3 linked regions of the Macaca mulatta genome follow. The protein of the gene in region 3 interacts with the protein of the main gene of each other region in a biochemical or structural test. Links are inferred from orthologs where the notes say so. Each region holds a gene or a part of one and is shown on either strand. Other genes may lie near its edges.

The links. The genes of interacting proteins can lie anywhere in the genome.
Region 1: of the proteins of SEC31A (region 3) and KLHL12, one has a biochemical effect on the other in vitro, tested with the Homo sapiens proteins (3 studies listed by BioGRID, with this or other methods). The link is inferred for Macaca mulatta from reciprocal best matches to the Homo sapiens genes SEC31A and KLHL12.
Region 2: the proteins of SEC31A (region 3) and SEC13 form a complex in vitro, tested with the Homo sapiens proteins (2 studies listed by BioGRID and IntAct, with this or other methods). The link is inferred for Macaca mulatta from reciprocal best matches to the Homo sapiens genes SEC31A and SEC13.

Annotation. Positions count from the first base shown.
Region 1 is NC_133406.1:60,591,088-60,595,196, reverse strand, and holds the start of KLHL12 (kelch-like protein 12), read left to right. Parts: upstream 1-1,309; 5' UTR 1,310-1,414; exon of another isoform or gene 1,415-1,442; intron 1,443-3,271; exon of another isoform or gene 3,272-3,308; coding exon of another isoform or gene 3,309-3,353; coding exon 3,354-3,548; intron 3,549-4,109. UniProt on the Homo sapiens protein: Substrate-specific adapter of a BCR (BTB-CUL3-RBX1) E3 ubiquitin ligase complex that acts as a negative regulator of Wnt signaling pathway and ER-Golgi transport.
Region 2 is NC_133407.1:149,175,576-149,179,716, reverse strand, and holds the start of SEC13 (protein SEC13 homolog), read left to right. Parts: upstream 1-1,341; 5' UTR 1,342-1,397; coding exon 1,398-1,400; exon of another isoform or gene 1,401-1,924; intron 1,925-3,000; exon of another isoform or gene 3,001-3,037; coding exon of another isoform or gene 3,038-3,178; intron 3,179-4,141. UniProt on the Homo sapiens protein: Functions as a component of the nuclear pore complex (NPC) and the COPII coat. At the endoplasmic reticulum, SEC13 is involved in the biogenesis of COPII-coated vesicles.
Region 3 is NC_133410.1:50,915,231-50,918,730, forward strand, and holds part of SEC31A (protein transport protein Sec31A), read left to right. Parts: intron 1-370; coding exon 371-532; intron 533-728; coding exon 729-881; intron 882-3,041; coding exon 3,042-3,278; intron 3,279-3,500. UniProt on the Homo sapiens protein: Component of the coat protein complex II (COPII) which promotes the formation of transport vesicles from the endoplasmic reticulum (ER).

The sequences.
Region 1 (4,109 bases), on a different chromosome or scaffold from region 3:
CTCACAGAGGAAAATAGTATTACCAAACACAATTTGTCTAGACACTGAGATAAGCTGAACTAATTAACCTCTTTGCCTTTTCAGTCACTAAGATAAGTGCACCAAAATCAATTAGAATTTACTGAATCAATTAGAATTTCCTTAGAATCAATTCAGCGGTGATGACAGGGACCATTATGATGCAGAGTATATACTGAGGTCTGTGGGTCGCAGGGCTCAGAGGATTATCGCCGCAGCGTTGTTCGGCACGAAAAGGCCATTGTGGACAATGGACGTGAAAAAATTTGAGGCCTCTGTGGGTTTTCTCGATGTCAAAAAGTTTCTCAGTACCTGGAAGGTAAAACATACTTGCTGCAATCAGATGCTTGGCATATTAAGCGTTGGAATTCTCTCTGTGTGCCCTGCCTCGTGAGCAGTAGGGAGGAACTCAGGCTCAGACAGTCGCTGAGCTGTAGATACATTCCCAGGCTCCCTGCCGGACCCCACAACATCCGGCCTTTTTTGTTTTTTTCTTTTTTTTTTTTTTTTGGAGACGGCGTTTCAGTCGGTCGCCCAGGCTTGAGTGCAGTGGCGCGATCTCGGCTCACTACAACCTCCGCCTCCTGGGTTCTAGCGATTCTCCTGCCTTAGCCTCCTGAGTAGCTGGGATTACAGACGCGTGCGACAACGCCCGGCTAATGTTTTTTGTATTTTTAGTACAGATGGGGTTTCACCATGTTGGCCAGGCTGGTCTCAAATTCCTGACCTCAAGTAATACACCCGCCTTGGCCTCCCAAAGTGCAGGGATTATAGGCGTGAGCCACCACGCCCGGACTTTTTTTTTTTTTTTTTTCAACAGGGTCTCTGCAGTGGCGACTCTGGCTTACTGCAACCTCTGCGCCTAGCTCAAGTGATCCTCCTGCCTCAGCCTCCCGAGTAGCTGGGACTACAGTCGGGGCCACCACGCCGGGCTAATTTTTTTTTTTTTTTTTTTTTTTTAGAAACGGGGTTTTGCCGTGTTCCCCAGGCGGGTGTGGAACTCCGGAGCTCAGGTAATTCGCTCGCCTCGGCCTGCCAAAGTGCCGGGATTACAGGCGTGAGCCACCATGCCCTGCCCACCAGACCTTTTTCTAATTCGGCTTCCTAGCAACGTGCAGAGGCCCGGCACCAGGGTACAGGCAGGTCACGTGACACCACCTCTTCACGTGACGCAGACTCGAGCGGGAGGAGGGCGGTGCTCCAGCTGCATTGCGTCATCACGTCGCGCGGCCGCAGGGACCAGACCTGGACGGCTCCAGAGCCTCCAGAGCCTCCGGGTGGGGGCGGCGGCGGCGGCTCTTCGGCTCTTCCTGAGCCGCCTGCTGGCCCCGCGCCCCACTCCATCCCCACAGGCTGGGGACGGGCCCGGCGCTGCTGTGTGGGCTCGGGAGCGGAGGTGAGTTGCGCGGAAGTGATGGCAGTCAGCCCTTCCCTTCCTGTCCGTCAACTCCGGGTTATGGCCCTACCCCCCATCCTTGGTCTCCCTGTAAGGCGGAATGGGAGACATGCCGGAGAGAGGAGGAAGGCTGGCGGGGGGGCGGGGCATCTGGCCTCAGTCGCCCTCTCAACTCTCCCCTGAATTGCCCCCCTGCGATACCTCCATCTGGCGGCGCCGGTCATATGCCTGGTGGTATCAGAAGGAAGGAGTTCGTTTCCTTCTCTAGAATGTAGTCTTTCCGGAATTTACTACCCCATTCCTGCCCCGAATCTCCCGAAGTGGAATCCCTCTATTCAGATGTTAACGGAAGTTCTAGAAAATAGGTCACTTCAGAAGGGTGAGGGTGAAGGATATGCTGAGACTTGGAGTGTTGAGGCAGGAATCCCCTAGAAGGAAGGCCACTCTGCACTAGGGGTACTGTCATTTTGGCACGGAAACGATAAAACACCCCCCAGGCTGTCTTCACTGTAAATGGACGTTTGTTCCAGACTCTTTTTGCACCCCTAGAGTTGAAACTAAGTTGACTTAAGTCTTTTTGAAAAACATATGCTTTGATGAATCACCCCCTTTTCTGCAAAATGGGTCATGCAGTTGTTGGAGGGATTATCTATAGTGCTTATAGAGTAAAATGCCAACTATAAACAGAAGTAGATGAGAATTTAGGATCTCATTTTTCCTGTTGAAAAATTACTTGTGAGTTGCGAACTTCTGGAGACCACAGTTTTATTTCCTGCCGTCCCCCTACCCCCGCCCCGCCGGATCGTTTCAGAAAGTTTTGGATTCCAATATTGATTCGTTAACCAGTAATGGACATTTACAGATATAGAGTAGGAATACCCTCTTGTTGAGGAGCTTCAATATCTTAAGCAAGTGTAAGTCCATCGGTAACTTGCGTGGTTTCCACTATTCAGTTAGGGTAATAGGTCAATTGAAGTTTCTTTCTTTCTTTTTTTTTTTTTTTTTTTGAGACAGAGTCTCGCCCTATTGCCAGGCTGGAGTGCGGTGGTGTGATCTCATCTCAATTCAACCTCCACCTCCTGGGTTCAAGCGATTCTCGTGCCTCAGCCTCCTTGGTAGCTAGGATTACAGGCGCGCGTCACCACACCTGGCTATTTTTTGTATTTTTAGTGGAGGCTAGGTTTCACCATGTTGGCCAGGCTGGTGTCAAACTCCTGACCTCAACTGATCCACCCATTTCAGCCTCCTAAAGTGCTGGGATTACAGGCGTGAGCTACTGGGCCTGGCCTGAAGTTTCATTTTAAGAAGAAATCCAGATATAGCTGAAAGTCATCAGACATAATTATTTGGCTACTTCTTTAGAAAAAAGTTTATTTTTACTGACTGGCCTTTCTCTCTCTAAGTTGAAGTTGAATACACACTTATTCTTACATTAAATTGTAAACATTCATTGTGCAACTTCTAGGATAGAAAGCATACATATAAAGCAGGATCCTCAGCCTCTAAATACTTATCTACTTAAGGATATTAAATAGTAATGATATAACACCTTTAAGAAATTGTATATTTTCAATTTGTCATTTGAGACAAGAACCTTGTGAAGATTTACAGGACATATATTGTTTATCTCTACTTACGTTTCAGCATTGATCATAATAAATGTCAAGTGGTAGGGACACTCCGTGGTAGAGGAATTCAGAGAAAGAAGAGAGAACTTTTACATGTACTAGATAGTGGCTAGATAGTGGTGGTGATGCCAGGCATAGGAGTGCCCTCAACTTGTGTCTGTTTGGGTCTGAGGGAAGCCTCTTAGGTTCTTAATTTGTAAAACTAATTAAATATGTTCAGTTTCCCTAGTTCTTTGAATATGCTCATTGTTTTTTTTCTCTTGTAGCTTCAGAATCCAAGGACCCATTTTGTTTTTTCTCCGCACTGCTTTATGGGAGGCATTATGGCCCCCAAAGACATAATGACAAATACTCATGCTAAATCCATCCTCAATTCAATGAACTCCCTCAGGAAGAGCAATACCCTCTGTGATGTGACATTGAGAGTAGAGCAGAAGGATTTCCCTGCCCATCGGATTGTGCTGGCTGCCTGTAGTGATTACTTCTGTGCCATGTTCACTAGTGAGGTAAGTGATAAGTTAGCCCCACACAAATGAAACTCCCGTGGTACTCTAGTTGTCTTATTTCACTGAATAAAATAGTAGAACTTTGATATAATTGTGAATTTTTACAGTGTGATGTTTTGGCAGATTCTGGATAAGATCTACCACTTAGATGACTATGCTTTAGTTTCCTCATCTTTAAGTTAGGAATAACAGTAATATGTAATAACTGGTTATTAAGGTTATTGTGAAGATTATTTTATGAAATAACGTACAAAATGCTTAGAGTAGTTTAATATGCAGTAAAACACAAATGTCAGCTATTGGATTTTACTATTTCTTAAATTTGTTTTCCAATTTTTCTCCTTTTTTTGTTTTTAATTTTATTTATTTATGTATTTATTTGTAGAGACAGGGTCTCACTGTGTTGCCCAGGCTGGTCTTGAACTCCTGGGCTCAAGCAATCCTCCCACCTTGGCCTCCCAGAGTGGCCACATCTGGCATTACAGGTGTGAGCCACTGCACCTGGCCTTTTCTCCTTCTAAAGTCTAAAAATTTTTAAGTGAGTACCAGAGGGATGAGGAG
Region 2 (4,141 bases), on a different chromosome or scaffold from region 3:
CCTTAGTTCTAACCCCCTACTCCCCTGACCTCCTCTCCAAAGCTCCTTGACAGTCTGGGTCTATCACACTCTCCGAGCCTTAACATCTTCCTTCAAGCAGTGACCATCTCCAGCTAGGGTCCTTACTCCCAGTTTCAACAGAGGAAACTGAAGGACTGTGACTTACCCAAGGGGAGTCAAGGCCTACCCCAGCTCACCTGCCTCCTTAATATCACAAGGGCCCCAGGGTTAGACCATACGTGGCTGAGGGGGAGGGGGGCCCAGGCTCTGTCCTCCAGTGTGGCATTCTCACTGCGCTTGTGGGGAACCTTCAGCTGCCCTACCTTGGGAAGCCAGAGACCTGGGGTCAGGGATGCTAGGAATTAGGTCTAGGGCTCTAGCTGCAGGAGCCTGGCTGAGATCCTTCATTGCCTATGGGGAATCTCCCTGATGGGACTTACTCAGGACCCCGGGGGATCGGTTTGGAAGGGGCAGTCCTATATAGGGGTTAGGGATGGCAGGGTGAGAGGTCCCAGCCTCTGGTGAGGGGCATTCCCTGGCCTCCTCTGCCCTGGTCCCAGTCCTTGGGTCCTGATGGGGGGACTACAACAAGGAAGCACTAGGACAGTCTACTTACTCCCAAGACATCACTCATCCTACAACATTCAACATAAGGCCAGTCTCACCCAGAGCCGCAGAGAGGCGGGTGAAGCTGTAGGTAGGTAGGTAGGTAGATAGATAGATAGATAGGTAGATAGATAGATTTTTTTTTTTTTTTTAACAAGAGTCTCGCTCTGTCGCCCAGCCTGGAGTGCAACGGTGCAGTCATGGCTCACTGCAACCTCCGCCTCCCGGGTTCCAGCGATTCTCCTGCCTCAGCCTCCCGAGTAGCTGGGACTACAGGCGCGCGCCACCATGCCCGGCTAATTTTTGTATTTTTAGTAGAGACGGGATTTCACCATGTTGGTCAGGCTGGTCTCGAACTCCTGACCTCAGGTGATCCGCCCCCAGCTCGGCCTCCCAAAGTTCTAGGATTACAGGCATGAGCCACCGCGCCCGGCCGATAGTTATATTAATCTTTCCTTTCGTTTATGGATCTCAGGAAAAGGGCAGACTTGGTCGGGAGAGTAGACCCACCAGAGCTTCAGATTCCAAAGCCCCCCTGGTCAGGGTCACTGCGGCAACCAGAGCCTCAGCCCTCTGGTCTCGGCGTCACTGGAGGATAGGGGCTGGGCCTCGGGAAGGCGGGGCGCGCCCTTTGGAAGGCGCGGAACTGTTGTGAGAGCCGAGCGCGTTGCTGCCCGGAGGCTCCTACGCCACGGCCCGGCAGCTTGAGGGCCGGGCGCCGGAAGTGAGCTATTCGGAGGCGCCGCCGGGAGCTGCCACGTCCGAGACCCGGAGCAGCCACCGCCACAATCATGGTGAGTGTTGGGACTGAGGAGGCCGAGCAGGGTGAAGGCCACGGTCGCAGCCCTCACGGGTTCCTCGGCCGTGCTGAGTCCCAAATCCTAAGCTCCCCTCCACCCACCGCTTAGAGATCTGGGGAGCTCTGGCCCCGTCCTTGCGGACCATTCCGAGCGGAGTCCAGAGGTGAAGCCAAAGAACCTCCCTGACTCTGCGGGGCGCGCCGCTGCCGCGTCTCCTGCCAGCCTCCTTCCTTCTCTTCCAACAATTGAATACAAAACGAGAAACAGCAGAGGAGCTACTCTATACCGAGCCCTCAGCATTGTTCGTAATCTCAGCCTGCTAACATGCTTGTGAAGAAGGTGCCATTCTTCTCAACACTTTACAGATGAGGACACTTGAGGTTCGGAGACGTGGAGCCTCTTGCACAGCTGCTTAAGTGGTAGAGCCGAGATTTGAACCCTTCTAACCATTCCTTTCTGCCGCCTACTACATCCCCTAGCAGAGATGATTGGACAGTTGCTCGGGATAGGGCCCCCAGGTAGGATGGGCACCTCGGGAAACGTGAAGATGGCCTGAACGACCCTCCGAAGGCAGGGGCTCAGGGTTTTTTAAGTCTCTGTGGCATCTGCAGTGTACATTCACTCCACACTTACTCCTTGAGTGAATGAATGACTGAATGAGAACTAAAGAATGGAAGTATCCGGGCTGAGCCTGGCATATCTAGTACATGCATTCTTTTAGAAACATGGGTGTGCCTCAGCAGCAGGTTTGAGGGAACCTGCAGGAACCTAGAAATCAGAACACTGTGTTCTTGCTCTGCAGAGGGTTAGGTGTAAATCACTCACCTCTGGCTCTTCCACTGCAGGTTAGAGTTGAGGCTCTTATGCTCTGACATTGAGCTCATCCTAAATGAATTTTTAACTCATTATCTGATTTCAAAGAGGTGAATTATTTTGAGTACAGGTGTTAACAGGGACCAGATAACACCAGGTCCCTGGGAAGAAGTACTCTAAGAAGTTAGTTCTCTCTCTCTCCCCCCTCTCCCCCCACTACCCTCTCCCTCTCTCTCCCTCTCCCCCTCTCCCCCTTCCTGCCTCCTTCCTCCCTCCTTCCCTCCTTTTCTCTCCCCCTCCTTCTTTCCTCCCCCCCCCCTTCTCTCTCTCTGTCTCATTCAGAAGCATGGTTCATCAACCGTGACTGGTGGGTGAGAGTGGTTAGAATTAAATGTGGATTATTTCTAAGGTCCTTTGGTAACACGGCTGAAACTACTTCTCAGTAAACTTTCTTCCTGAACCTACTTATCCTCAGCTTTACAGAACTCAGTGTAACAACTGCTTTACATTTTAGACAGGCAGCCTGGTGGAGTGAAGTTTTGTGGATTGGGAGTTAGAAGGTTAGAGAATGGGGCTCTTTTCCCAGTTCTGCCTTTACCTAGCTCTGTGACTTTGGCAAGTGCTTTCTCTTCTCTGGGCTTTTTCAGTTCCTTAGTCTGTTGTAGGTCTCTGATTGACTCTGCCCTTGGTACCCTGCCCTCCCCGCCTTCCCGTGCACTTTGTAACCTATACAGCTTGGCACATGGAGGAAACTCCTTATTGTCCTTACTTGCCTTTGCAGACTTCGGGGACCTGTTTTTTAGAGAGTCTAGAATTTGATGAGAGAACCTGTGCTTACTTGGTGTGTACCTCTTGAACTGCTTTGCAGCCATCCTCTTCCAGTGTCTGCCTTTCTGAAAACACAAGTCAAACTTTATACCTACAGGGCTTGTGCTGGAAAAGATGAAATGGGGAAAATGGTAAGAAATGTCTGTTCCACAATGAAACTTCTTTTAAGTCCTCTTTTCTGTCCCAAGAATTTAAGAGAATAGTGGTTGAGCAAAGAAAAAAAAAACACCTTTTGTTCATTTACTTATTCATTCAGCAAATAGTCACTGAGTTCCTTCTATTTGCAAAGCACTGTGCTGGAAGATTTGAGGGGATTTGAAACTGCAGATGGCTCAGACTGTGGATCCAAGGAGCTCACCTTCTAGTGGGGAGAAGAAACAGCATAAAATGTTGTTTGTGGTCAGTGCTGAAGATGTGCAAGAGAGTCCAGCCATTTGAGGATCTGAGAATCAAGAAAGGTGATGGGTGGCCCTTTTTGAGCTGGACTTCAGAGAATGGAGAGGAGGGTGATGACCATGACACCATGTTCCAGCCCTACAAACTGTTCAATCCTGGATCCCACTAGGTGATGGACCAGGGAGCAGCCTCAGGAAAAACTAATCAAGTCTCCCAGTCTGAAGTAATGACTTTGTTAGGCATAAACTGCCTGGAACATCAGAGGCTCTGTCATCCAGGAAAGGAACACCAGCTGTAGCTCCCTTGTGGTCTCTCCTCACCCTTAAGAGTAGCCAGGACTGCTTGCCATTTCCCCACACACATCAGGCTCTCAGACCTCTTTGTCTCTCCTCATGTATTCCCTCTGCTTGGCTGCTTGGACTGGTATTTTCTCCTGTGCCACCTGCAAATTCCTACCCATCATCTAAGGCTCAATTCATGTCTACCACCCCACCCCTCAGGCTCCTATGGGACACTCAAACCACCATTACAGAATTTATCTTGCCACACTAGCATTATTCGCGAGCTTCTCAAGGGCAAAAGTTCCTCTTTGTGTATCTAGTTCCTGGCACAGTGCTTGGCAAAAAGAAGGTACTTAGAATGAATGCTTACTGAGTGAATGAATGAATGAACGAACGAATGCAGTCGTTCGTTGAGAT
Region 3 (3,500 bases):
GACGGAGTCTCGCTCTGTCGCCCAGCCCAGGCTGGAGTGCAGTGGCGCGATCTCGGCTCACTGCAAGCTCCGCCTCCCGGGTTCACGCCATTCTCCTGCCTCAGCCTCCCGAGTAGCTGGGACTACAGGCGCCCACAACCGCGCCCGGCTAATTTTTTGTATTTTTAGTAGAGACGGGGTTTCACCGTGGTCTCGATCTCCTGACCTTGTGATCCGCCCGCCTCGGCCTCCCAAAGTGCTGGGATTACAGGCGTGAGCCACCGCGCCCGGCCTACTTCTTTCTATATAGACACAGTAACAGTCTGATCTCTCTTTCTTTTCCCCACACCACCATTTTCTGAGTGTTGTTGTTTGTTTTTTGTTGGCCCAGGTGTTATATGAACTTCCCACCAACACACAGTGGTGCTTCGATATTCAGTGGTGTCCCCGAAATCCTGCTGTCTTATCAGCTGCTTCGTTTGATGGGCGTATCAGTGTTTATTCTATCATGGGAGGAAGCACAGACGGTTTAAGACAGAAACAAGTTGACAAGGTAATAGGAAGTGTTAAAGTTTTCTATTATAATGCCTGAAAAAAGTACATGTTGTGTAATATTTTGAAATGACTTCACTGATTAACATTGCTGGTTAATTGGACAATTGTGATCAAAAATTTTTTTGGATATGACTGGAAAAAAATGAAAGATAGTTTGTGTATGGTCAGATTCTCATGTTATTAATCTTTTTTAGCTTTCATCATCTTTTGGGAATCTTGATCCCTTCGGCACAGGACAGCCCCTTCCTCCATTACAAATTCCACAGCAGACTGCTCAGCATAGTATAGTGCTGCCTCTGAAGAAGCCGCCCAAGTGGATTCGAAGGCCTGTTGGTGCTTCTTTTTCAGTAGGTGGATTTTGTTTTTATGGTCCATAGTCACAAAGGACTTTTTATACCAAAGTGTTATTACAGGATCACTCTGATGGAAGAAGTCGGGGTTTAAGTTGGGATTTGAGATGTATTTGTGGGTATTTCATCATTCAAAATGATTTCTCTGAAAAACTGGAACCTACTCTTTTTTTTCCCTTTTTTAAAAACATGGTAAAATATACATAAAATTTATCATTTTATCCATTTTCAAATGTACAGTTCAATGGCATTAAGTACATTTACATTGTTGTTGTGTAGCCAACACTCTATGTTCCTCCCCCCACTTTTTTTTTTTAAATATTTTTTTATTTTAGACAGAGTCTTGCTCTGTTGCCCAGGGTGGAGTGCACTGGCGCAATCTCGGCTCACTGCAACCTCCGCCTCCTGGGTTCAAGCAGTTCTCCTGCCTCAGCCTCCTGAGTAACTGGAATTACAGGTGCACGCCACCACACCTGGCTAATTTTTGTATTTTTAGTAGAGATGCGGTTTTACCATGTTGACTGGGGCTGGTCTCGAACTCCTGACCTCAGGTGATCCACCTGCCTCGGCCTCCCAAAGTGCTGGGATTACAGGCATGAGTCACTGTACCAGGCCCTCCTCCCTTTTTTTTAAATGTGTCTTCCTTCTCTCTCTCTCTCTCTCTCTCTCTCTCTCTCTCTCTCTCTCTCTGTCTCTCTAGCTCTTTCCCTCGCTCCCTCCCTCCCTTCTTTTTTTCTTTTCTTTTCTCTTCTCTTCTCTTTTCTTTTCTTTTCTTTTCACAGGGAGTGTCCTCCCTCCTCTTCATCCTTTTAGCTTTCTTTTTTAATTGTCAGCTTTTTTTATTGTAAAAAATACGTAATATAAAATTTACTATCTTAACAATTTTAAATATACACTACAACCATTTTTAAATATATACTACAGTAGTGTTAACTATATACATGTTGTTGTGCAACAGATCTCTAGAACTTTTTCATCTTGCAAAACTGAAACTCTGTGCCCTTGAACAGCAGCTCCCCATTTCCTCTTTCCCTTGAATCCCTGGTAACCACATTCTACTTTGTTGCTAGGAGTTTTACTACTTTAAATTACTCATATAAATGGAATCATGCAGTACTTGTCTTTTTGTGGCTGGCTTATTTTACTTAGCTTAATGTCCTCAAGGTTTATTTGTGTTGTAGCATGACAGAATTTACTTCTTTTTACAGGCCAAATAATATTGCATTGTATATATATATATATACCACATTTTTTTTATCCTTTCATTTGATGGTCATTTTGGTTGCTTCCATCTTTTGGCTATTGTGAATAAATGCTGTGGTGAACATGGGTTTGTAATTATCGTTTTGGGATCCTGTTTTCAGTTTTTTGAGACATATACCCAGAAGTGGGATTGCTGGATCGTACGATGGTTCTATTTTTAAGTTTTTGAAGAACCTCTATACCGTTACCATTTTACATTCTCACTAATAGTGCACAAGGGTTCTAGTTTCTCCACATCCTCTCTAGCACTTTTTGTTTGTTTGTTTCTTTCTTCCTTTTACATTGCTGACACTTTGCCTAATTCTTTCACACCAGACTTCTAATAGCTTGATTGCATATTTGTTGCTTGTCTTTTTCCTCTCTAATCTTTACTACATATTCCAAGATTAATCTTCCTAAAATAGACCTTCGAATATGTTTTATGTCACTCATAAGTTTGTTCTTTGGATCTACTTAATCTTCTCATCATCCTATCTGGTCTTCTGTATCTGGGTGGATCACTTGAGGTTTGGAGTTCAAGACCAGCCTGGCCAACATGGTGAAACCCTGTCTACTAAAAATACAAAAATTAGCCAGGCGTGTGGCCGGCACCTGTAATCCCAGCTACTCAGGAGGCTGAGGCAGGAGAATCACTTGAACCCAGGAGGCAGAGGTTGTAGTGAGCCAACATCCCGCCTTTGCACTCCAGCCTGGGTGACTAAGAGTGAAACTCTGTCTCAAAAAAAAAAAAGTACATTTCATCTAGAACAGAAATTGAAGTGATGTCAGACTGTGGCGCATGAGAGGTGGTATCAACTAATTTCATCCAGATTATCTGTTTAGGCCACTTTATAAGCACTGTTTTTGGCCATATCCTCGGGTTAACACTGAGTTTGTTCATTCTCTCTTTTATAGTTTGGAGGCAAACTGGTTACATTTGAGAATGTTAGAATGCCTTCTCATCAGGGAGCTGAGCAGCAGCAGCAGCAGCACCATGTGTTCATTAGTCAGGTTGTAACAGAAAAGGAGTTCCTCAGCCGGTCAGACCAACTTCAGCAGGCTGTGCAGTCACAAGGATTTATCAATTATTGCCAAAAAAAAATTGATGCTTCTCAGACTGAATTTGAGAAAAATGTGTGGTCCTTTTTGAAGGTAAAGTTGCTATTTAAGGCTGTATTATTTCATTATCTGCAAATTTAACTGTTCCATTATATTCTAAATCTGTCTTCCTTTTAAAGAATTGAAAAAGTGTGATTTCAGCAATTCATCATGAAATTAAGAAGCCTTATAAAGAGCATACAACCTGTGTCCAGAGTTTTTCCTTCTCTACTTTGAAAAGTGTAATACGAAATACATTTTTAATAAGAAAACAAA